Mytilus edulis: one gene and its partner. The protein of the gene in region 2 purifies or fractionates together with the protein of the main gene of each other region. This does not show direct contact. Links are inferred from orthologs where the notes say so. Each region holds a gene or a part of one and is shown on either strand. Other genes may lie near its edges.

Region 1 (13,796 bases), on a different chromosome or scaffold from region 2:
TCATATAAGGCAAAATGCAAAATAGTACAATCGGAAAGTTATCATATGATTAAGGTCTTGCATTCCTAAAATATTTTTTCAACATAGATAAATTCCATTTCTAGCTTTGTTTCATGCAGGGCCGCTCATACAATTCATAATGAGAAATATCTTATAATTTAAATCGTTTACCATCACAAGTTGTTCCGCCTTCCTCGTAACCATCTAACTGGGATTATGGTTGTGATGGTGTATTTCGTGGTCATTGTTAAAAGGCCTACGAAAATAAATAGATAATTCACTGCTTTTGGTTGTGTGTTCGTTCATTCGGAACAATTATTTTTTTCTTTTTAACTGTTTCATTCGCTTGACTTAAGTATGACCACGTAAATTGTACAAATATAGGTATCTTTATGATCGGTATGTTACCCTATGGTAAAATGGCAGGTATATCGTTGTAGCGTTTGAGATGTGTCCTTCGTGTTTACATGCTTGTTTGCACAATGAGAAATATTGTCTTATTTATGACTAAACCACTTGAAAAAGTTCTTCTCAAATACTCTGTGTGGTTTGCTGTTTATTTTTGTCTGAGTTTCCCATATCCTTCTTCTAATCAACTGATTTTGTGTGCAGATCGTCGACTTCTAAGAGGGACGTCATGTGCAGAATATAAATCAAATCTAAGGGATGTTAATTGCTGGAGTAAAATGAAATCTTCGGTATGGAACACTGGTTTTGTATACGCAAAGTATTTATCCCCCGTTTTACCAATTCAACAAATTGACATCATTTAAAATGTTGAAAAGGCCATATGTACACTTATTGATTTTCAGCATTTATGGAGATATTTATAACACAAACACTTGGTTAGTTTTGACTTTTATATTACCCATAATAAAGTCGTCATTATTTATACAACACTGTATATACAATTGTAACATAAAATACTTTATCGGAGCGCTCAGCTTAAATACGTACAAGAATATCACACTCATTCAAATGTTTTGTGAGAAGATATGAAAATAAACAAACTTTAAAATAAAAAGAAGTAATAATATGATGCTTTTACTAAACAGGTAGTAGATTGGTTTTTTTTTTTATATCGTGTACATAAACAGAGTTGATATCATAATAAATGTATGAATGATAATATGCACATTTCAGCGATTCAAAATGCATCAGGTTTTAGTTTAATCAGCACCATAAATAATAACAATAAATTGCTGAACGCTATGACATTGCTTTTCATGAAATATTTAAGGACTACAAATAAAGTCCATTCTCTCGCTCTTCTTCTTGCATCCTTCGCATTCATGTTTCGTTCACTGATACACACACAGCAATAACATTTCATACAAATAAATAAATATCACATTTAACAAATAAATAACAACCAAGTTCCCCTTTTGTCACCGACATCCACAACCTTCTACGACCATATCTTGATAAGCTTTTAGTACTACTTTGTCATGTTCATCAATGTATAACAATGAAATAGGTGATAGTTCTGTTGGTACACAACACGGTTTAGGAACAGACCGTGGATCTATAGAATGAACTAAGTCTTGCACTATTGCATGATTTGTTGCATTTAAATGATCGGCGTATGGCCAATGACATTCGCCGTCACAGAAAAAAGCGTTATAGCCAGAAGGTGCTACTATCCAGTCATTCCAACCTACTTTATCAAAATCTACATATAAAGGTTTTCTACTACATCCATTTTTAAATTTCTTCTTTTTATTTTTCCTATTTTTTCGTTTCTTTTTCTTTTTCTTCTTATTTCTATTTTTATTTGATGCACGTTTAGTCCGGCTTTGTATTTGATCATTTGAATATGTCACTAATATAGGTCTTTGTGAATGCCACTCTGAATCTGATAATGAAACTGATCTCCGTAAACGCACATGTTTAAAATTTTGAAAGGACGGAGACAGTTTGCTGGAACTAATTCGCACTTCTATTCCATGGTTCTGTTTAGGTGTTTTACGCCATTTTAATACTGCTGGGTGAATGTCAAGGGAAACCCATGTTGCATTCTTAGTTTTTACGTGTTTAACATCTACAAGTCGCGTAACTGGATCAACATTTGTGTTTCCCGGTCGCATAATTTCATACACTTCTATTTTGTGTCTAAGTATTTTTCTTCTTGTAATATTATTAGCACTAATGTGTTTATCCAAAAATACTCTAAGTTCTGCTGCAGTTAACACTTCTTCTTCTGGTATATTAGAGATATTAAATTCCATCCTAACACAGCTATCTTCATTACATGATCCGGAATCAGGTTTATCTACAAAAATTATAATAAATAAATTTATCAAACATCAAACTAAGATATTTTGTGATATGCTAAATTACAATAGTTTTTTTTTTATCAAACTGGGTTATTTCTTGTTTAATGTTACCAAATTTTATTGGAATCTGGTATTTATGAGTTGGCTGATTTTAATGTCTACAAGATGAGCCTTTTCAGTTTAAATTTTAACTCATTCAATATACGTGTAGTAAGTTTATATCTGACTACTCTTCCAGTTATATACTCAAAGACTTCATGCATACAGAATGATTTTTTAAACATATATGTGTGTACTAAATTTGCTGGTTAGAGTAATCCTCTATAGATATAGAGATGTTAAACACTTTAAAATATATTTTACTACAATAGTTTTCATTAAACCAGACAGCTTTTTTCTCTAAATTATGGTCAAACCTTTGTTTTATAATACCACATGTTTAAGTTCTGATGGAGTTGTATTGGGAATCCAGTATTTTTGTATTATCAATGTCAATATGAATAGGTTGAGCATTTAGTCGTCTGAATTTGAAATCATTTAAGGACAACTATTCCAAATATAAAAAAAGAGTGAAATGTATCCATTAACTGAAAAATACTTGAGACAAAGTTGTTTTCCATTTTCACTATATTTCCCCCCATCGAGTCTAACATGTTCTAATGTATTTGAATACATACCTGTGTGTACAAAGCTTCTGATCGTATTAGCACTGGCAGCTTTGCTATTTGCAAACTGTAAATTATTTGACGCTGAGATCTGTTGGTTATACAAGTCTATCATATACTGAGGTATTATAATATCGGAACTTGGCTTTGGTCGGCTCTTCAGTCCAAAGATTTGTAGCAATTTTGATTCAAAATTCTGGATGATATTTTGTTTTTCCTTATCATTATAATTTGATAAGGCTTTGTCCAGTAACGAGTTTCCAGTGTCTGATGAATCAACTGTAACAATTCCGTTTACCAAAACGCAAGCAAGAAACAAAAAGGTCCAGAATCCGCAAATCATGATGAAATTGCCTGAAAAGAAGAAAGTACTAATTAGTTTTGAATCATATGTAAGATAAGATTTTAATTATTTTAAAACCCAAACAATAGGATTACTAACATAACAGAAACGTAAAATAAACATATATGTATATATAAACTGGTTAAATGAAAACCACTTATTTTGGACATTTACGTACTTAGGTTAATAGTAACTAGTGTGACCGCCTACAATTACTAATGTCTACCGCAAGTTCAGTTTGTCTCGCAGGTGAATTCCAATGGTAAATGTCATAAAAATCATGTTTCAACATCAAGTAGATTTTACGCTGAAAATTGTACCTCATTTGATTATTGCATTATAAATCCGGAAGAAATGTTATACCATGTAAATATAATAGTAAACGATTTGCTCACGCAATAGTAAACGCTGATATGTAGGGCATAAAGTGCACTATACTGTTAGCAATACATATTAAGAAATGCAAGTCACCCTTCTTTACATAGAACTACATCTGGTATGTGCAATTCATTAATAGACAATATTGGATACATAAAACTTTTATTTCAAAAAGCATAACCATTTGAGTCGGATTTCTTATTTAGTTTATAAGATAATAACGATGTTAGTTTCAAAGACATATTTGTAATGCAAATAGAACAAGGACCGTTTGACATTATGCTATTTATTTTGAAAAAGGTTAAACACTTTATGTATACATATATATAGAAGCACGTTCCATGCTACTCGAAAAGCGAATAAAACATATCGTCAAACAGGTGGCACAAGATAAAAATGTATATTGCAACTTTCAATAATATGATCAATGAAATTATAGTAAAATAAAACTAAACAAATCGACACTAGTTTTAGAATCTCTAACTTGCAAAGAAAGTGTTTCAAATTCCTATGAATCCAATAAATTTGATTATTTTAAAAGGGCAAAGCGATCTTTATTGACTTAACTTTACTAAAGTTTTATCAGTCTATTATCAGACTGTAGAGTAGAAAGTCGTTTTAGCACCGATCCTCAAATCGACAATAAATGAGTTAAAGTATTACATTGTAATTTAGAAGAAAGATAACGTTGTTAACACTAAATCCTTTCATATCATTGTAAGTTCGGCAAAGGCACCTTATCAATAATCACAAACATCACCAACAACTTCAAAACTTTATATCAAAATTCTACGACCAATAAATTAAGGAAAAATCAGTTTATCTGCACTTTTGAATATGTTTTTCTCAAATCATCAGAACTTCCATCATTCAGCAAAAACGGCATTGCTATTATTTCATAAAATAATGAATACAAAAAGAAACTTAACGCGATAGTTTGGTTTTCCACGTTAACATAATTGATATATTTGTTCGGAGTAATTAATATTTGTCTTCTAAGCCTACAGGTGTGTAAACGACATCTAATTTTGATAGAATCACCATGTCTTTAAAAAGATGAATGAAAAAGATTCAATCAAGTCACCACGGAAGATTTCTTTGACTGATAAAATGTGACACAACAAAGATGGAAAATATGTAGAAAATCAACAAGTTGTAGTTTTATTGGAAGGTAACTGATGGATTGGCCATATGATTTATAACCTTAGGCATACTTGTACTATACAGTACAGACTGGAAAATGAATGACGACTAGGTTGGATTTTATTTTATTAGCAAAAATTTATCATTCATAAAGTATGTTTGATTTTTTGTCAAATTTTTTTCACAGACGAATGACATCATTTACAAGTTATGGTTGGCATTTTATTATTATAGACGACAATGAAATATAAAACACGAAAAAATTTAAAACTGTTATTTCTTTGTCGTGGTTCCGGATAAAGAGGATTTCCCATCGTATTACCAAAGAAGTATTATTATTTTGGAAAATGTTGACATTAAAGTAAATTCAATGAGGCGTTTTTAAACAAGACATATTTAAAATATTTTATGTTATGCTATTCCGCTAGTACAGAATTAAATATTTTACGAGTTCATCAATCAATTTTGATATAAAGTAGTAAAGATCCGATTAAATGCGCTATTTTGTTAAGGCAAATCCTTAAGATTTCTAAAGGAAATGATATTGATGTGTAAACCACAGGTGCCAGGCATTTAAAAATGCAAACAATACAGCCTTTTATAACTAGATCCTTAATTTTCCTTTCATCACCGAAAATAAATATACAAGAATATTAAATCCATTTATTAGATGTGTAGTTTGCATAGTTTAGATTAAACCTACTGCTTCGTTCATTTTACGGTTATAGCTTTACTATACAGATATTTAAGTACCCGACTGCGTTAAGTATTTATAACCCTCATTCTAATGGACAATGTCCTAATACTTACACATCCAATGAATTGGAAGACGTGTTGTCCGTCCATTGGTATGTAGTAATAAATATCCACATACACTAGCATAGCTCACATTGTTTTAAATATGTATCCTGAGAAATTAACTCCTCCGCTAACAAGCTACTTAATAAACAATTCTGAACTTCTTATGTTCTCGCATAATCCATTGTAAAATATTAGATGTCTAATCCAAATACTGATAAGAAAACAATTAGCTCAATTTCGAAAATTATTAATCAATGTTCACTATTTATGCACCAAAATATCATAATTTCCTATAAATATACAATTCTTCTTTAATTACGAACTCAAATACACCATTTAAATCACATTCACAAACTTAAGTTCCGATATGTACAATAGTCATTGATTTACATGTTATAACGGATTAGAAAAAATACTTTTTAATCACACTTATTCAACACAGCAGAACACAACTAAATCTGATTGGCAAGTGGGGGAGGTTACCTTTAGTGTACTACAGAATAGCGGCGCTTGCGCAAAAATATGACAGTCATTTTAAAAAGTTGTGACGTCATGTACAGGTAACCTACTAAGTGGAAACAATATAATTCTGTTTTCTTTTCATAATTACAAAATATGCGTTTCCTTCAATGCTCCAAAAGTAAGCTTATCGCTAAATCAGGGAAGTTTATATGAACAAACGGGTTTAAATGTACACTAAAAAATCGCCGGTTCATTCATAAAATACATCTGCAAAGATACTACGTGTTTTTAGATTTCACTTTTAAATGCCTTCACATTAAATAGATCGTATTTCAAAGACGTTTCAAGGGTTCTTTTAAAAAGATTATGTTTCCACTCAATTGGTTAATCGCTAAAAATTTTGTATTCGTTTACTTTAAAGCTGTTTCGAATTAAATTTGTGTCGTTCAAAATTGTTACCATATCTGTATTTAGAAAGCAATTCGTAATTTACAAAGTTAAATAGATGTATATATATACCTATTGTCTTTCTAAACGGTCTTCAATTTCTTGAATATTTAGCAAATTTGTTCAGCACTATGGAATAATTGTTGTAAAAGAATAATTATAATATTTGAATGATTTGAGGGTATTATATACATTATATTTGTTGTTTCTAGTTTGACATGTCTTATGCTCATTCTCTAGCTCGCTCCATAACTGTACAAATATTTTGGTGGTTTATCAAATCATAATTACCGGGTTACCTTAGATTATAATCTAATTTACCTGTAGATTATAGCTAATTGAAAAGATAAGTACTGTGTTATTGTTTGTTATTACGAGTTATGCTCATAATTCTCAGTTAAGGAGTGGGTATACAGATGTTGTTAGGGCGGGCTATCTGTGTTATCAAAACATCTTGATTGAACCATTCTACAGTTTTTCTTATTAAACTTAAATTTAATGAAGAGTGACCATCTGTTTTGTAATTACCACTCCATGAATCTCATAGATAGATAATTACACAAAAAGGTGTTGATTGTAAATAAAAAAGTTCATTCATTTGTTTAATTACCTTTTTGGTTGTTCCTTTGTAAATCTTTTCATTATTTCAACACCCAAATTGTTTCTTTCTTGCACATATTGGTTTTTTTTTCGTTTGTAAATCTTATCATACGACTGTTTAACATTTTGACGTAGTAATGATAACATAGAAAATGAAAGTCGTTTAAAATTCCAGAATGGTAAAATAGATAAATGACATTGACCTCCCAACCCGCTAAGGAAGTGTCTCATTATTATAGCTGTTTGTATTACTAGTACTATGTATCCAAAATCAATTTAAGGCACGTATTAAGATAGACAAAAATTAAGGGATATTTGTCAAATATTTCTTAAATACCGCTGCCGTTATGTTGACATTGTATGTCATCACAAAATTACTTATCTAACCATTAAGTTAAAACGAAAGGAAAAAAAAAGTTGTTTTTACCAATAATGTTTTGATTAATAGGAGTTTATAATTCATAACAAAATATGTATGATCAATATAACTATCACAAATAAAAAAAAAAAAAGAAAAGAAAAGAAAAGATAACCAGTGCCACCTTAAAATTACCTTGGAAAATTTAGATCTTTTTATTCATTTGACAAAAGAGTGCAATTGGGAACCGTGTCAATTTTATACCATTGTGGCAAAATAACGCTTATATTTTGGCTTCACAGTTAAGTTGTTGTCAAATGCGCTGAAAGAAGTGCGGCATGCATATGATTGTTTATATAGTTAAATTCGTAAATGAGCTTTGATTCCTTGTCTGTGTTATTTTTTTACTTGTCATTTTTGCGTTATCAGCTCTTTAACGTTTGTAGTAGATTTTAGACTTTCAAATGCTGTGTTCTCGAGCATCACTGAAGAGATATCAATTGTAGAAATGCTGTGTTCTCGAGCATCACTGAAGAGATATCAATTGTAGAAATGCTGTGTTCTCGAGCATCACTGAAGAGACATCAATTGTAGAAATGCGCATCTGCTAGCCTGCATATAATTGGAACCGTTAATGTTATGACCACATTGTTTATATTTTTACCTGGAAAAGTGCAATTTTCCGTTGGAACAAAGCTACAGCAGCACCATTTTCTGACAAACGTTTTCATACAGATTCAAATTTCATATTTTTGACAGCGTCAAAACATGATGAATGCCACAAATACAACAAAAAACTCAGCACATAACGAAATATTGCACTGCAGTATAGTGCTCCATGAGAGTAATGCTCGTATATACAACAAAACAAAGTAGTACTCTTAAACATAGAAAGTACGCAATAACTAAACTTGCATTTGGGAAGTTATAAACATGTATAAAAGGTTAATTGTACATACTTGTTTTGAGGATTTGTTTGACGTTTAGTTTAGCCTAGATTGGTTCCTGTATTATTCAATTTCCTTTTGAACTTCATTCATGTGTATTGATTAAAAGTGCATGTAAGTGGAATATTATGACACACAACACTTAATTTAGTAACGAAAGAAGAAAAGGCCCACTTTTAACAACAGTGGCAAGATAACATCAAATTATAATCATCTTCTCTAAAAAGTTCGTTTAAAACCTGATTGTTGTACTTGAGTTCGACAAACGTGTAACGCCTCCTGGAGTACAAAAACAGAAAATAATTCCACCCATGTCATTTAATTGAAAAGCTACCAATTTGTTCCTTTTAGTATATACATACAAAATTATTGAAACCAGGTGTTTGACAATGTTAAAATGATAAGGTATTACTTATTTGTGAAAACAATCCATGGGAATGCGTTTGTGACAAGGCAACACAGAAAAAAAGACTGACGGGTACCGCCTCCTGTGTAGAAAATAGGTCGTACACCTGCGCTACTGTTCTGTTAATGGCCATTTAAGTTTGATAAACTGGTCCTTGGTGTTCGTGTCATAGACGAGTTTTAAGTCACAATTTCTATAGCACAATCAATAGGTTTTGCATTTGTTTTTAAGACTTCAATTAACAAAGAAGCAAACAAAGAGCACTACAACATCTGTACAGTATGGGTAAGATTGGATAGTAGTTTTCATTTGGACATGTATACCCTGACGTTAAATATTACGGTGACCGGGTTATACTTATAATGAACCAATTTCATTTTTAAATGCATAATTGGAAAGATGTTACAAAGATTTAACTTCACTTAATTTCTATATCACTTGTCTGTCCGAACATGTGTTTTGAACAAGTTTGGTGTCACAAGCTGTAAAACTGAAGAATTTCAACAATTACCATCTGAATTCAAAGGTTTACTCAATTCAATATTTTATTGAAATTTATTGAAGGATTGATAATATATGTATAATTGAAACATTGAATGGAATTGTAAAAGACTTTTTATAGGTATAAATTTTTAATAAGGTTTGTGACAAACAATCAAATAAAGACAAATTAATGAACGAAATAGTTTAATAACAAAATATAAAAAATAGTTAAATATCACAGTAGCACTTATAAAGTAATTTTCTTTCCATAAGAGTTGACGAGGATATTAATGCGGTCGGACCTATTTACAGCAATTATTAAACCAGTTACAACTTTCTTAAATTATAAATGTTTCAATTTTTACTTGCATGTGAGTAAAATAAATTATATTAACATTTTTTTTTTATTATATCAAGAGTATACGAGGCATATTTTTTTCGCCATGATTCTTCAGAAATTCATATATGTTTTGTTGGTGAATTAATTGATAGTGTAACTGGTAAAATTGACAGGTTAGTAATACTTTTTTGACATAGACATAATTTATTGATTTGGGGACAGGTCATTGTTTTGTACGGTCATCTGTTTTCATTAAAAAAAGGACACACACGTCTGTCATAATTTGTAAATAATTATTCTTAATTGTTTGTAAGTAATAATTTGTTGCCACACCAGAAAACAAAGGATTTTTATGGACTGGTAAATGAAATCTTTCAAAACCCGACACCAGACCCGCGTATTACGAATACGTCGCTCCCTGGTAAGTTCGTGTTTAAATGGCAGCGATATGCTATTTTAACCAAATAGTGAGAAAGGGATACACAATTAACTGGTCTCCGAAATATACTGTTGCTTCCAGATTGCATGTAGAAAGTAATGCATTTCGATTTATTGATATTGATTTTAGTAATATATGGTCAGATTTATCATGAATTTGATCACACAATCTTGCTTTGATATTATATTTCAACCATACATTATTTTAAAAGAGCTGTGTGATCCAGATATAAGAACACCGACATTCATCAAATATGCGTTTATGTAAATAACACATAACTGAGAGGGTGCTAAGACCAGATTGTTACCACGAGAAAAAAATTGTCAACCGAAGCGAGGCCTCCTGTCCAAATTTGAAGAAGCTTCAAATTATTATAATATACGGGAAAAAAATGTATTTACTTAAAAACTATTTAAAACATAAAAAAATATATAAATATAGCCTTTGTATAAGGTCGATACAAGGATATATTGACCTGAAAGAAGTATATTGACTGAGGATGTCATTTAGGTTTGTTGGAATTTTATAGATTGTCTTCTTGACAATAACAACATATTAGTTGCTATTTCATTGACTTTTTTTTTTTTGACATCTTATGTATTTCAAGATTTTTTTCGTCAAATAATCGATCACAGATATCATGTGTTTCAAAACGTTAAACAATATCCTGAAATTCATTACCTGACGTCACAAAGTATATTGGTTTTTAGATATTCTAAAAATAACCGTGCAATATGCTTTTTGCAGGTAAATATGCGTTTTGCTATCCGCCGTTTTCTCTCTACCTTCGAAAATATAGTTTAACATGTGACTATCCCTATACGAATTAATAATATTACGTGGTATGATTGTCAACCTTCCGCCAGAAACCACATGTATCAGTTATATCTAGGAAACTACCCAAGCAAAATGTCAATAGTCGTTTAACTAATATAGGTGTACGTTTATATCTATTGTTGTCGCAATGATTCAATTTCAGCAACAAAACCAAAACGTACACTTATTGAACATCAAAAGAGTTGATAGGGGTATTTTTTTTTTTGCTTGGACATTATCATGCTCGTTTTGGAGATAAGTTACCGTCTGATGATTAAGTAATTCAATTGGAATTATCTGTGTCAATCTTGTAATCGTAAAATTTTACTGTTATGAATCACATTTTAAAGCTGATTTTGCAATGAACCAACGAACATGCACTTGAAAGATATTTCAACGAGATATCGACATCTACTCTGTAAATAATCAAGACATTCTAAATGTACAAATACTGTTAAAATTCATTTTTACTTAATCAACGTTAAAAATGACCGCTCCTCTTATCTGGCCACGTTGACGCATTTTAAAAATTAGATTAGCTGGAAGTAGATCAGTCAAGTTGAGTCAATAAGCTAAACTTTGAGACAGGACGGACAGAAGAACCGACAGATAGTGAGAGGCACATCAATATAAGTTAAAATTGTCATTCGGCCAGAGTTATGGGATCTTGATATCCGAAACCTGAGTATAATTTGAGCAATATACATCAAACTTCATAAAACTATTAGAAACGGCGGTAGACTCCGAAGTCAAGGGCCTGCAATTCGGTGGTTGTCGTTTGTTGCTGTATATCATATTTATTTTTAAAACAAGCCGTGAGTTACTCATATGATTTTTTTTACAACTGCTATTTTTGGATTCTTTCATAGCTGGCTATGTGGTATCGGTTGTAGTCATTGTCGAAGGCCGTACGGTGAACACGTGTTTCTCAGTGACTTCAGTTTTCCTAGAACGTTTAATTATATCTTTACAAAATGTAAGGTTTGATAAACACAATTCAAAGTGATGCAGTCAGGTTGTTTCAAAATATTCAGTGAATTCGGAGTATTTTAGGACTGCACTTGATTATTAAACTATTAATATAATTCAAATAACTCAACATACTTATAACGACTTCAGAAGACGGGCGCTGCAGCAAGTCCCTTCTATTATAATTTCTAACGTAATCTTCATGACAAATTTGTCAAAACGAGACTACTTTTCCTTTCTTACTCAAAATAATTTCTTGTTCCTTCGTAGAAATGTTCCGCTGTTCCTTCTAAATAGCGCATACTTTTTTTGTTGTTCCAGAAGTATCTTCTACGACGTATATAGCAGTAATATAGATATATATATATATATATATATATATATAGATTATAACATGGTGGTTTTTTTTTTTTATATCAGACTCTTATCAGTCCTCAGATGTCATGATATCAGCCCGAGAGCCGACAGGCTCCAGGGGTGATTTTGACCATGGGCTGATAAGGGGTCTGATATAAACAAAAAATGACATGTTAATATGTTTTTTTTATCACATACTTCAACAGAAGACATACAGACAAACACTATTTTTAAAACTTTGAAAAAAATGCTTTTATTGTAATATTTGTTTTGCTTTTTTCAATAATAATTTCCTGATTCCTAAAATATATATTCTTTTTATCCAACTTTGTTATGTTTTACACATAAAATAACCGGAACAATTGAGGGATATTTTCTGGAATTTGCCGATTGAATTCGTATTGCCATGTGATAACGTTACAGCAAAGCATGGGATGATAACTGGAAGCAGCTGATATAAACCGGAAGCAGTTGATAACAAAAGTCATATTTCATGGCTAAGGCAATTCTTCGAATTTAATGAATAAATACATGTATACATAAGTTTTATCATGGGGTACAATTATACTTTTATTTTCTTTACGTATATGATAAAAATGTTTATGACAATGCAGTGTGAAATCTATTGCGAACATGCTACTGTAACTGATAATATGAAACAGGTGTTACCTGTGAAAGGGAACGAAGTCCGTATCAATTACATTTTTTAAAATTCTATCATATTTTCATGTTCTAAAAGAAACAGAAATACTGAAACGTTTCCAGTGTTGTTTCTGTTGTTTTTCATAATCTCATGACAAACGAGACCGGAAGTAAGAATGAAAGAGATTTCTGCGCAAATTTGGGAAAATGAAAAAGTTTACGATTTTGAGTTTATTAGTACATTGTAAATTATATATATTTTAATTATTTTTATTGATTTTTCTACTATTATAGGGGTCTTCGTCCCGTTATTAAAGCATGGAACGGCATGATTTCATATCAGCAGATTGAGCATGATCTTGTTTTTTACAGCTTGTTTCTTGTATATATGTGTTTTGCAATATGTTTATTCTATACCGGTATCAAATTAGTACATTTCTGTACAGAATTTAATTGTTCGTTGTTGTGCATGTACGCTTAGGTTTTTTTTTTTTTTTTCACTCTGCGAGGTTACGCGTCTGGCACAATAAATTTCATGATAATTCTGGTATCTATGATGAGTTTATTTAAAAGGGGAATAGTTAACATTTATATGTTAAAACGTCTAAATTGAAAAATCTTGTTAGTGGTTGTATTTTAAGATATATTAATTAATGTGATAATATTTTTTTTGTTATTTCTTCTTTTCATTTAGGGAATTTTGCATTAATTTCAGGTCCTCGATTGCCCGCTCTTATATTTGATTCACAACATATCTAAGCTTGGGTGATATAGATCATCGCATATGGTTAAGACACTTGTCTATTGTTGATGACAGTGTCTTATCATCTGAATGTCTTTACTTAAATTTTTGTGTAGTTGGGTTGCTGTCTTATTGACATTTAAGCTATAGACATTTTCTTAATAACTATTTTATATTACCCA
Region 2 (13,572 bases):
TCTTAGAACAATTTCGATAAACAGGCTCCAGTTCTCATAATGTTATTATGTAACAAATATATACTTACTGCCTAGGCGTTAGCTTATTGCCTAGGATTTAAGCTTAATGCCTAATTTCACTTATTGCCGCTATCATATATAAATATATGAAGAAAACTTGGATAAAACAAAAATTATACGAAAATTTTTAATATGTACGACCAAAACTTTGGTCTACTGGAACTGTCAAATTTTTGTAATAACTGAGAGAATACAATGTATATATAATGAAGTTTAATGGAAACCTTGTTTGAAGACAGAAGACTGGTGAAAGGAAGGTTTGTAAAAATTGACACTTTTTGTAAAAATTATAGAAAGAAAAAACTGTTGATTAAAAAATTGACCATTTATTTTTAATAGATACAAAAATATAGCTCTTATTAAATGCGTCTGGATAATTTAAAGAAAAAAAATGTGGTCTTTTTTTCCTGTTGTATAATTATTTATTTTTTTAAGTAATTAAACAAATGAGTTGTCTCCCCTAATGGGATTATAATTTAAAAACTGAATCCTGTGTTTGTAAAACAATCCTTGTGATAAGATCAAATTCAACCATTTTATTAGCTTTAATGAAAATTCTAACAGATGAATTACGTTTCTGTCCAAAATCCTTTTCTTATTAAACATTTAGACTAGTCGATTTCTACCATTGTACAATCCAAGATGGCGGAAGACTTAGATGGTACCTTAAAAGGGATAAACATGTACAATCGGTCAACACAGACAAGAAATACAATGTGAAGACATATAACCATGCAGATAAGTATGATCTTAAGCTTGGACAAAGGATAAATCGGAAGGTAAATCATCAAAGGCACAGGGTAAACTAAAAGGGAAAAATTTCAAAAGAGACAACCATTGTAAACTAAAAGGGAAAAATTTCAAAAGAGACAACCATTGTACATATCTGTTATCGATGCAAGGAGATTTAAGTCAAATATTAATCATTAAACAAATATAACTCAAAGGCAACGTCAATCAACTGTAACAGGTTCCTGGCTAAGAACAGGCTTCTTCTTCCTTTGGTCTCCGGTGGATTATGTTGTCTCGTTGGTAATCATATATACATATATACCTACTTATTTTGATATTTCATATTATACCAAAAGTGAACAGACATCTTTCTAACCTATCTTTGTAATATTTATGAATACATATAAGTAACCAAACGTAAGAAAATGATGTCAAACTTATTATGAAGGGGGCGGCGAAGAGCTTGTTTAACAAGAGTGCGTTTTATATAGATATAAGATTTGATATCTTTCGGAGTGCTAATGAGAAAACTCTCCATTAAAGTCACAATTTGTAAAATTAAACCATTATATAGGTCAAAGTAGTTGTCTACAACACAGAGCCTTGGCGCACACCGAACAGCAAGCTATAAAGGGCCCAAAAGTTTACTAGTGTAAAACCATTCAAACGGGGGAAAACAACGGTCTATAGATATACATTTTGTAAGACGATGTGGTATGAGTGTCAAACAGACCATCTATATAAAATATGAGAAACATTTATGAACCAATTCAACAAACGACAACCACTGAACATCAGGTTCCTGATTAAGGACAAGTGCAAACAATATGGTATATTTGAGTACAATTTTAGATCGATGATGAGGTTAAGCTGAATAATAGCTTTATCTTATAATTTATCCTGTAATTGATTACAAAACGATTACCTTGAGACAATTTACTTTAAACAAATCAAATATTTAAGGCATCGTCACAGATTTTCACAGATTCTTTATTTCTTCAGACGGCCATTTATCATTCTGAAAAATGCTTGAGATATATGCAACTGGAGGCTAAGCAAACATGCAGCAATTAATTAATTAATTTTTCGGGTGGTCATTGGCATTTTGAGAAGTATATAAAAACAACATAAACGAAGCAGATTTAAATGAAAAGGACGAATCTATGCCTATTAATTACGACTTTTATACAATTTGTAATAATGTAATTTTTTTCAGAGTGCAAGAATCTTTGAAAGATTAAGAAAAATACGAAACACGTCAGACCCTATCGATCTAAAGATATACAATCGCAAGTCCGCTTGTAAATGTTAAATCATAAAACAGTCGCAGATTCAGAGTGCACGTGTACACTCTCCCCTTTTTTCATCCTTTTTTTCTCAAATAAAAAAATGAAAAGTTACAGCAGTATTTGTGTCAAAATAACTTCTCTAATGTCTCAATCACGTGTAATCTCTATATCATCCATTCCAATCGTACCCTGGATTCGGGCCTGTAAAGCTCTTTAAATTGCACTGCAAATACTTCGTGATAACCTTCTAGCGAAAGTATTTCTTACTGTAACTAATTATTCTGTAGAAATGAGGTTTTATTCAAGGCCAAGTCTTTATAGAATTAGTCTATAGTAAACAATTATTCGTTGTAGGTCAGAAGTTTTTCTTAATTAAAGAAAGAACAAAGAGAAAATATCCATGTAAAAATGCTTTTCCTGTTATCAGATGTACACTTTTAATAAAACTTCCTTTGCGTTTTAAGATCAAAACGAGAAAAAAAGAGAACATATGGCCAGTTCCACAGCCAATTATGTCAAATCATACATCTGTAAATGCATAAAACAAGATTGATTGATAGTTGGTGTTTAACGCCACTTTCAGCCCTATTGGCTTTATCATCGCGATTGAATTTAACTGGAAGGGGGGGGGGGGGGGCGAAGTGTTAAGAGAGAAATACCGACCGTCGGCAGGAGAACTTGCTATCTTAGTCAATTATAAGATTGGAGTAGAACGCATCAATGAACACATTCCCAATTCCATAGCTTATTATGTCAAATCATACACCTTTAATTATATACAGCTAGATTGATTGATTGATATATGCTTAACGCCACTTTCAGCCCAATTGGCAAGTTTTTTCGTGTCAATCAGATTTTACTGGTGGATCGGGAAGCCGATGTGCCAAGAGAGAAACACCCACTTTCGGAAGGGGAAACTGGCAATCTTAGTCAATTAAAATTTGAGTAGAACCTTTTGGGGCGGGTCGAACTCACAATCTCAGTGCCGACAAGCTTGTGATACAGTAGTTAACTATTTAGACCTCTCGGCCACACCAAATGTATACTGTACAAAAACAAAGTTATGATATTCTCATAATGTTTAATATGGAGATCCGGTCAATCAACACGCTCTTGCAATACTTCGATGGATGGTCATTTGTTATTGTTTCATTCAGATAATTTCATCACTCATCTCATTTTCAAAACTTTCTAATTTTTAGGGGGGGGGGGGAAACAAACAATAAAATTGTTATCTGCAAGAAATCTTAAAGATCAGAGACCCGGTTTGAAAATTGTTTCATTGTCTACACAATGAATAAATAAAAATCACAGGGACTGACCAAAATTGGATGTCAACACTGAAATCCTTATAAGGACCAAACAACACTTACTAGTTGAAAAGAAAAAATTTGGTGATATTCATATCTTGGGAGATACACGTGTGAAGGGCCGGGTTATTATTGTTTTTTCTTTAATTAAAAATCACTACTAATACAACTCTAGCTCCCAGTAAAAAAAACTAAACGTTTTTTATTGTACGGCAACCTTGGCTGTTCGCTACTCAGTTTCAAAATTACAAACTTTTCAAAACTTTTTTTTAAAAATTGATAGTATGAAAATAAAGTTACAAAAAAGCAGAAAAAAAATGAAAGATTCGTGAGCATGCTTTCGAGATATAAGCCATTAAAAATTTGGCGGGTAATGTTTTTCTCTGAATTTTTCATACATTTATCATTGTCACTTTTTCCCTGTCAAAAACTATGAAAAAGTAAAAAGGATTTTATAAGATTTTCAATTTGTCTTTTAAAACTATTTGCAATGGAAAAAAAGTAGGGGTTTGAAGGCAAAGTTTTTCAACGGAATTACATGGATAAAACCAGAGGGTTCCGAATATCTGGCAAAAATTTAAAAAAAAAAAGGAGCGAACATCCTTAATGAAGTTCAGAAAGGAAATTTTACCACAATTGTCTCTAAGATTTTCCCCGTTTCGATCCCACTGCTCGATAAGATTACAGTGACGAGATTTATCGTATTGAATTGATCCCTTATACTTTTTAATGGAACCAAATTGATCATCATTAACAAAAAGAAAATGCTTCCGCGTATTCTTTTTCTAGAGTATGTAATAAATTGAACCAAATGTCTGTGGGTGATCAGATGATGAAATTAGTTCTGTCAGATTGTGACTTCTGGGTAATCCTTTCAACTGTTGTGTTCAATATGGGTATTTTTCTTCAGCTAAGCAATTTAATATGATATATATACACATCTCTCTTCGTAACAAAAGGATGGTACCTAAAATTTACAATTATGATTCCATTCCAATATTATTTTTTTAACTTGGTTTATAGTAATCCCGATTTTAAATTATTAACAACATTCTCAATGATATTACTGGTACTAATACATTACTTTGACTTTTAAGCGATAATTAGAAAAGGGTCCAACTTATGGGACGATCATGTGATTTCTAGGGTCGAGGAGGATTTTGAAAATGAATGGTCTGGACCGATAAAGGCTGTAAATAAATAACTTTTCATAACAAAGAATAAAAATGAATATTATGCAATAAAAAATACAAAAAACAGTAGCTATCGTGTGCAAAAGTCAATCCGCAAAAAAACCGCCTCCTCCCTTCTCCTCCCCCCACTGGAGATATGGTTATGTCCTTTGTATTAAATTCTAATTGTTATTATCAATATAAGATTGAATTACACCTAGAGAGAATTATTTCCCTCCAAATTTTCAACGGCTTATATCTCGAAATCAAGCACACAGACCCTCAATTTTTTTCTGCTTTTTTTGTTTCTTTATTTAATATATACTTTCAATTTATATCAGTCTTTTAAAAAGCTTGTTATTTTTAACAGAGTAGCGAACATCCTTAATAGCGACTTGGAGAAATGGTTATGAATAAAGTATAAAAATGATTACTCCCTTGCATTACTTTTCTTGTCATATTTATCTTGTTTACCCTAAAACAATCTAGATTATCTTTAACAGAAAGATTAAAAATAGATATAGGAGAATTATAAACATCAACGAGACAGTTAAAACATAATTAAACGGTAAACAAATGATTTAGTTATCAAAATCTTAGTACAATAGAGGAAATACATTTTATAGAAATATGAATTTAAGAAAAGAGATATATGGGGATATACGTCATGCTGAGTCTAGACAACAAACTTACAATATAACAAAACAAAACCCATCTAGTTGTCTATATTAATAAGACCGTATTCATTAGTGAATGTACAAAAGATTGAAAGATGAAGAAAATGTCTTATGTGAAGGTCGTCTTTTGACCTATAAAGATTTACTTTTACAAATTGTGACTTGGATGAACAGTTGTTTCATTGGCTCCCATACCATATCTTTTAATGTCTATATAATTTTTATTCCAAAATTATATTCTATTTGAAAAAATGTAGTGGAAGATTTTGATTTTTTGGGGAGGGGAGGAGGGGCGACAAATGACTTATAACATCCGTGTAAAAATTGAACATACCTCACCTGGATGAAAATGAATAATTTGTCCAACAAATTCAGAAACTAATATGCTCACAGCAGTTGAGTCTTAAAAGAAGAATATAAGCATTCTGTCACAGCCCCCATCCCAAGATATCATCAAATCGTCCCCTAAATTTTAAGTCTGTTGAAAAAAAAACCTAACAAATTATATAACATATGTATATAAAAATCTAAGACGATTTCGGTAACGCCAAGAAAAATTGAACTGAAATTATAAATCAACCGTGCTGTACCATCAGATTTATAGTTCATAATTTGAAATGAAAAGAAATTTTATTCCGAAAAAAAAATCTACTTTATATTTGAGAAATGAAAGTTGAGCAGTTTTAACATTTACTAGGCCCAAACCAAAGTAACCCATTGAAGAGAGAGTCTGTACACACATTTTAATTTACTTGAGAACATTCTGTTAATGCAGTAATAATGTTGAGAACATATTTAAATTGTCAATCAATATACTAAATAATTATATCAACTAAACGAAATTACGAGGCTTTTGATATATGATCAGGGGTCGTAAGTGCATTTTTTGCAATCAAATAATTTAGAATCGCATTTGTTCAACACAAAACGTAATGTAATGGCTTAAAATTTATATCAAACTGGTAGAAAAAAGCGGAAACGATATAGACGTTAATTTTTTTTATATGATTATAATTTTTTTGAAAAAGTCTTACATTAAAATGTATTATCGCAATTGAATTATTTAAGATAACTGTAGAAATTTTCTATTAGAAATTTTTGGTTAAAAAAATGAATTTCAGTGTCATAATCTAGCTTCGACTGGTATCTTATGTATTGTGGTTCCATGTATAAAGAAAAACAATAATACTACAAGAAAGATATTATAATTAAAACTTACATATGGAACCCATCAAGATTATTAAAACTGATCATATAGGTTAATAACCCTTAGCAATTACCCCGATTTTTTTCTCTTCAATAAGTTGAAAAAACTTCTTCAAAATAACTGCATAAGAAAACAAATTCATAGAAACATGTATATTTTTTTCTTTAAAATATAAAATAGCGTCTTACCTGGTTGATAATTTTCCTTCTCCTTGATTTCTGGTTCGGGACGTAGTGCCGAAAATCTTATTTCAGCAGCTACGACCAGGTGTGCAAACCCAGCTAGTAATAAAATCTCTCTAAATAAATCAAACATGTGTTCAAATCTACTTCAATCTTATAATAAATAGAGAAAATATCCAATTTCTATTGAAATCTACACGAACTTATTCACCACTTGACGATTTTTATTCATCAAATCGATCTTTTTCTTTGTAATTTTACGTGACAAACAAGAATATTTCTTAATTCTTCGTAACTAATTTTTATTTCTATTTAGTTTTCACAAATTGAATGTTTTTTAAGATTTGATGAAGCGCTCTATCATATATATTTATCAGAGTTTGTATTGATAAACCATGATACCCACGTTGATTGGTTAAGAATAAAAAGGTCGCAAGTTTGAATGAATAGAAAACGCAAAAATGGGAGGATTTTTATATCAAACATTGCATAGAGAAGTGTAACTTCCAAACACCTACAGTTAAGTTTTTCGGTAAACACTCTCGCGTAGTGACTAAACCCTACGCTCATTCAATTCTTCTCTAGGTGCTAAAATTGGTAAACATTCACTATTATATCCTATGTGGAATGAAGTCATGATATTAAGTAGTTAACGATAAAAGATAAATAAATTTTGATTTTAGGTGTTAAAGGTTAATCCACTTCAAACAATACAGACGTATCGAGTCTGTGGGCTATTTGTTAATAAAATGATTACTTTTCGCAATTGGAAAGATTAAATGTTTCTAACTACATATCATTATCAAGATAAGAATGGCGGTGTTTTAATTGATTTCCTGCTGAGGAATGTGGCATGATGGTTTATTAAAATAAAGTTAATGGCTTGATGGGTTGTTCGACTACTAGAGGACTTAATTTTGAAAGCTACTGTTTTTTCTTTGTAACTATTACATGTATGACATGTAGTTTTATACGCTTCAAAATTAAATCAAAAATATTTAAGTCGACTAAATATTATGGCATAGTGGTTATACAAAAGAATTGATGGTTTTGTTACATGTTTTACTTCTATATAGATATAGGAAGATGTGGTATGAGTGCCCATGAGACAACTCTGCATTCATGTAACAATTTAAAAAAGTATAAATTAAATAACTTAGTATTGTACTGCTACTACTTTTTCTTTGTAACTATTACATGTAGTTAATTCGCTTCAAAATTCGGAAATATTAAAGTCCACTAAATATTTTGGCATAATGGTTATACAAAAAGATTTGATGGTTTGGGAGATGTTTTACTACTATATAACTTAACATTGTACTGCTACTGTTTTTTCTTTGTAACTATGACATGTAGTAGTTTTATAAGAATAAAATTAGCATATTCTCTGATTCTTGAACGTGAAGCTTAATGAAAAGGGTGTCTACATGTATACTATAAATGCTAAAATAATGTGGCATGATGGTTTATTAAAATAAAGTTAATGGCTTAATGGGTTGTTCGACTTCGATATGACTTAAGGTGGTACCTAACACTACAGGGAGATAACTCTGTGATATCAGCTAAACGTTTTAATTACGTTGTGTTGTTAAGGGAATATTAAGCTTTTCAATGATCAAAATAAGTATTTGTCAAACTGCTATATAACCAGTGTAATTTTTCTGATTAAACGGTTGGTTCAAATTTTTTGAAATTTTTATATTTTTGTTAAAGGGTCAAAGTAAATACTTTGTCAAATTTTTATGGAAATTAAACGAGCCAAATTAATTTTAGTGAAAGTGTTGGGTACCACCTTAATCTTGTACTGCTACTGGTTTTTTTTCTTTGTAACTATTACATGTTATTTTATATTCATTCACTGGTTCATGAATGTGTAGCTAAAACAAAATATGTTATCTGGCATTTTCTAAAAATTCTCTTCAAATAGATTATATTTAAGTCGACTAAATATTTTGGCAAAATGGTTATTCAAAAAGATTTAATTGCTAGATGACTTTTTTCCCCTACTATAAGATTTACATACACAGCTACTTTTGCATAGGTACTATTTCTGTACTAAAAGTCTGTTGTACTGGAAATTTACTTTTAATATTCAGTACTATTTTGTTACTTTAAAATTATTGTAATATTTAGGTACCTCTATTTAACAGTACTTTATTTATACTGGAAATTTAGGTACTACAGATTTGTGGTTACCACCGTTACATTTTCAGCATTTTGAAAGTTTTTCTATTTAAAATCTCTTAAAATCATGATTTTCAAACATGGAATATTGTATTATTTCTGTACCAAAATATTTAGTACAAATCAAGTTCTGTAAAATACAAGTACCTAAATATTTAGTACAAATCAAGTTCTGTAAAATACAAGTGCCTAAATATCACAATAATTTTAAAGTAAAGAAATAGTACTAAATACTAAAAGTAAATTTCCAGTACTACATATTTTTAGTACAGAATTAGTACCTATGCAAAAGTAGCTGTGTATGTAACTTTGTACTGCTATTCCTCATTCTGTGTGACAATGACAAGTATTTTTATAGAATAAAGGTCATTTATTCACTGATTCTAAGGCTTTTCTACCTCAAGCATATATTACCTAAGCTGTATTTCGCATAACTTTTAGGAATATTGGTCCTTAATGCTCTTCACCTTCGTACTTTATTTGGCCTTTTTAACTTTTTTGGATTCGAGCGTCACTGATGAGTCTTTTGTAGACGAAACCGTGCGTCTCGCGTTTATACAAAATTTAGTCCTGGTATCTATGATTAGTTTATCCATGAACATGTAGCTTAAAGATATGTATAAGTATATTTTGTTCAACCTAACAGATGTTCCACTAGAAACTTTGTTATAAACAATGTCATGATATACATTCCTGTTAAAACAACATTTCTATACAATGTATTCTGTTAGGAACATATACTCTAATATTTATTCAAGAGGAGATAATATTCCAGAATACTTTTTCATTTGGAACTTACATGTATGTTATGATGAAACTTCTATTTCGCATGCTATCTATCATTTACTATAAGTGCGCTTTAAAATCGAAAATACTAAAGTCCACAGTGACCACTAAATATTTGGCTTAATGGATATTTAAAAAGAGTTAATTGATGGGTTGTTCAACCACTATGTATCTTAATCTTGAACTGCTACTGTTATTTTCTCTGTAACTATGACATGTAGTTTTATAAAAATAAAAATTATCCATTCACTGATTCATGACTGATGTGTAGCTTTAAGGAAAAGGAAATAGATATAAAAAGTTGTGGTATGAGAGCCAAGTCACAATTTGTAAAAGTAAACCATGATAGGTCAAAGTATGTGAATTAACTTCAACACAGAGCCTTCATCTTTGCAAACATTTACTTTAAATTTTGAAAAAATAAAAACTAACATTTATAAAACATAGAATAGATCTGTTTTCTGGTTGATGGGTTGATTGGCTACTATTTGACTTAAAATTCTTGCAGTGCTACTGAAGTTCATGAACGTATAGCTTAAAAGGGGGAGCCTATAGCTACATGTATGCATGGAAGTGTAATATTGAAGTTCCATGATGTATGCAAACATGTTTTGAAATAGAAATTTGTTTCTTCATTTAAGTTCCAATTGGGCGAAATATCCTGTAACATTTTTTTCCACTGAAACAAATATTCAGTATTCGTCCCTGCTAACGGAATACATTGACATTACTGTAAAGCGGAACAAATGTACAACGTTGACAAGCAATAAGTTGAACTATTTAAAAACAACTTCAAAATTTTTTATTATGAAGCAACGTTTTTAATGTGTAACATGGGGTAAAAAGATATATAGGAAGATGTGATGTGAGTGCCAATGAGACAACTCTCCATCCAAATAACAATTTATAAAAGTAAACCATTATAACCATTATGTAAATGTACATTTATACAATAACAAATACTATAAACATGAATTTTAATAAATAAGTTTCAAATTGGAAATCTTTACGTTAACTTAACACTTTGCTACCAAAACATTGCGCTATTTTGAAAGATTTCTTTGTTATCATAAAAAAATATATGTGTCAAAGTTGACACATTTTTATTTATGGGCCTACTAAAGCCCACCTCCGGGTGCGGAATTTTTGCTGTGTTGAAGACCCTTTGATGACCTTCATGCGCGTAGCTACGTTTACGTCAAAACGCCCGGGCGTACACTTGAATTTTGAAAATAAAACAAATAATCGACATAGAATAAGATAAACTGGTCAAAAGCACATCAGCCTTGTGCTTCTTCTTTTTTTGGATTGCAATTTTGAATAAAAAGGGACTAAATTTATTCAAATAGATCATTTAATCAATTTGTTCGAATCTTTTGTAAAAGTCTGAATCTACTATGAATTCTACGTCTTTTTCTTATATTTAAAGCAATTCACTATCTGATCAGATTCGATATGCTGTTTGTATTTTTGTCGAGCCTGTGATTTATGTCCCAAAAGCGAGACAAAGCGACGTCAATATTTAGGTTCCGAATGTGGATAAATTCTTTTAAATGACTCTCCGTGAAATTTTACGAAAGTTGGACAGAAACTGTTTATGATCAAAAGAGTATTCAGAGCAATATAATAATGCAATTATATCTTTAATTTTCTCGCATTTTAAGGACAAAATGTATTTCTTTCTGCAATTAATAAATGGTCGCAGTTTGGGCTTACATTTTGTAATTTCTCAATTACCATAACTACTTGTCGAACCTTCATCGAATTTTATGAAAATGCCGAAGAAGCTTTTTCTATGACTAATGTCTAAAACTAAAATTTTGAAAGCATTTGTTTTCGTTCATTTTTCTGTTCTTTTCTGATAGACAGATAGCCGGACTCTTCTTTACGCTATTAATTGTTTTACATGCTCAATTTATAAACCTTCATAGATTGTCGTGAAATATTCCAGATCAAGAAAAAATTATCAAAAGAAAATTTAAGATTTTTTTTAAATCCCTTTAAAGAACTGATAAATTGATTCACTTTTTTGGGGAAGAAATCCTAGATGTTCCAGAATTTTTTATATTGAACCTCTTAGAAGTATTTTTTTTCGTGTTCATTAAAAGGTGCTTTTGTCGATTGTATGCTCACTCACGGCACCCTTTAAACTTATTTAAAAGTTATATTGGTTTAGACGTGTTCTCTAAAACAAATGACCATTAGGCTAGCTTCCAGTTTAACACGATGAATAAGTTAACATATTACAAAATTTAACCAAAACAAATAAACCATTTAGATTCAAAAGTACAGTCATGTATGTTGCTATCAATGAATTTTTACTGACAGGAATCATTACGGTATCTTATTCTCGATAGCTTTCGGGGGCTTCGTCCCATTCGAACCAACTACCAGCATGTGCTTCAACATTGAGCGGTTGGCACCCCTCATATCCCTCGCTAAGGTTCGGGCGTACACGTAAAAATGACCCAGCTACGCCACTGACCTTCTGCTGATTTCTGCTCTACAATGTATGGTCGGATTGTTGTCCACTTTTTGAAATATTTTCTATTTCCATCTTCAATTTTGATTAAAGTTTACATTCAATTTTTTATGTAAATTTCTTGAAATGTAGTGAATGAAATGAATTTAATGTTGACTTTTTCGACGTTTTTGGTTTGGGTTCGTATATCTAAAGTTTAGTTTTCTGTTCTGTGTTTTATTTGTTTTTTTTATAACTTTTGGTCATTATATAATAAGAACATTTAAATGAACCCGCATATAATGAGAAAATTAAAATTCAAATAAGGTCGAAAGTCATAATATTGAATAACAGCCATGGAATATATAAAAAATATATATATATAAATCAGTAAAATCTTGTCATATATTATAAAATAGTTAAATATTACAGCTGTTATCCATTCGTTTGATGTGTTTGAGCTTTTGATTTTTCCATTTGAATGGGGACTTTCCGTTTTGAATTTTCCTCGGAGGTCAGTATATTTGTGATTTTACTTTTTTTCTATATACGAAAATGGAAGCATATCAGCCATAATGGGGTTGTATAGAACACAGGGAAAAAAATAATATGTATATTCCTAAGATTTGATTTCTGCTTCGTTCGCCTGATACCATTAATGCGGTTATAATAATAACAACTTTATTGTTTAGAATTAAACTTAGTTTATTTCATGTATACTACTGTAACTAAAGAAATGTTAATTTCAACTGAATCTAGTTACTTATTCAGACAATTTGTTGATAATAGATTTATTTGCTGGCATGTCAGTTAACTGCTAGTAGTCTGTTGTTATTTATGTATTATTGTCATATTTTGTTTATTTTCTTTGGTTACATCTTCTGACATCAGACTCGGACTTCTCTTGAACTGAATTTTAATGTGCGTATTGTTATGCGTTTACTTTTCTACATTGGTTAGAGGTATAGGGGGAGGGTTGAGATCTCACAAACATGTTTAACCCCGCCGCATTTTTGTGCCTGTCCCAAGTCAGGAGCCTCTGGCCTTTGTTAGTCTTGTATTATTTTAATTTTAGTTTCTTGTGTACAATTTGGAAATTAGTATGGCGTTCATTATCACTGGACTAGTATATATTTGTTTAGGGGCCAGCTGAAGGACGCCTTCTAGTGCGGGAATTTCTCGCTACATTGAAGACCTGTTGGTGACCCTCTGCTGTTGTTTTTTATTTGGTCGGGTTGTTGTCTCTTTGACCCATTCCCCATTTCCATTCTCAATTTTATTTATCTATTTTAAGGATTCAGCAATATCCAGGAGATTTATTCAAATTAAAGAAAATTATGAAAAGAAAAGCTGACAGCTTTATTCATATTGAAAAAAGGGGGAAATTATGATAGGGATGAATGTTGACATTTAGAGAAACAGAAATTGTTTAGAAAGTTATTTGCAAGTGTATATTCTTGGAACTAACAAACAGTTACCAACACATTGAGGTATAATAGTAAGAAGGTAATA

What was found.
Region 1: the proteins of chordin-like (region 2) and bone morphogenetic protein 2-like purify together in Drosophila melanogaster (affinity purification with western blotting; 4 studies listed by BioGRID). This does not show direct contact. The link is inferred for Mytilus edulis from reciprocal best matches to the Drosophila melanogaster genes sog and dpp.

What each region holds. Positions count from the first base shown.
Region 1 is NC_092346.1:21,887,503-21,901,298, reverse strand, and holds bone morphogenetic protein 2-like, read right to left. Parts: upstream 6,309-13,796; 5' UTR 5,620-6,308; coding exon 5,616-5,619; intron 3,296-5,615; coding exon 2,954-3,295; intron 2,273-2,953; coding exon 1,389-2,272; 3' UTR 847-1,388; downstream 1-846. UniProt on the Drosophila melanogaster protein: Required during oogenesis for eggshell patterning and dorsal/ventral patterning of the embryo.
Region 2 is NC_092356.1:31,117,195-31,130,766, reverse strand, and holds the start of chordin-like, read right to left. Parts: upstream 7,273-13,572; 5' UTR 6,763-7,272; coding exon 6,636-6,762; intron 1-6,635. UniProt on the Drosophila melanogaster protein: Putative negative growth factor. Antagonist of dpp, a protein involved in patterning the dorsal region and in the development of the neuroectoderm; dpp inhibition is enhanced by tsg.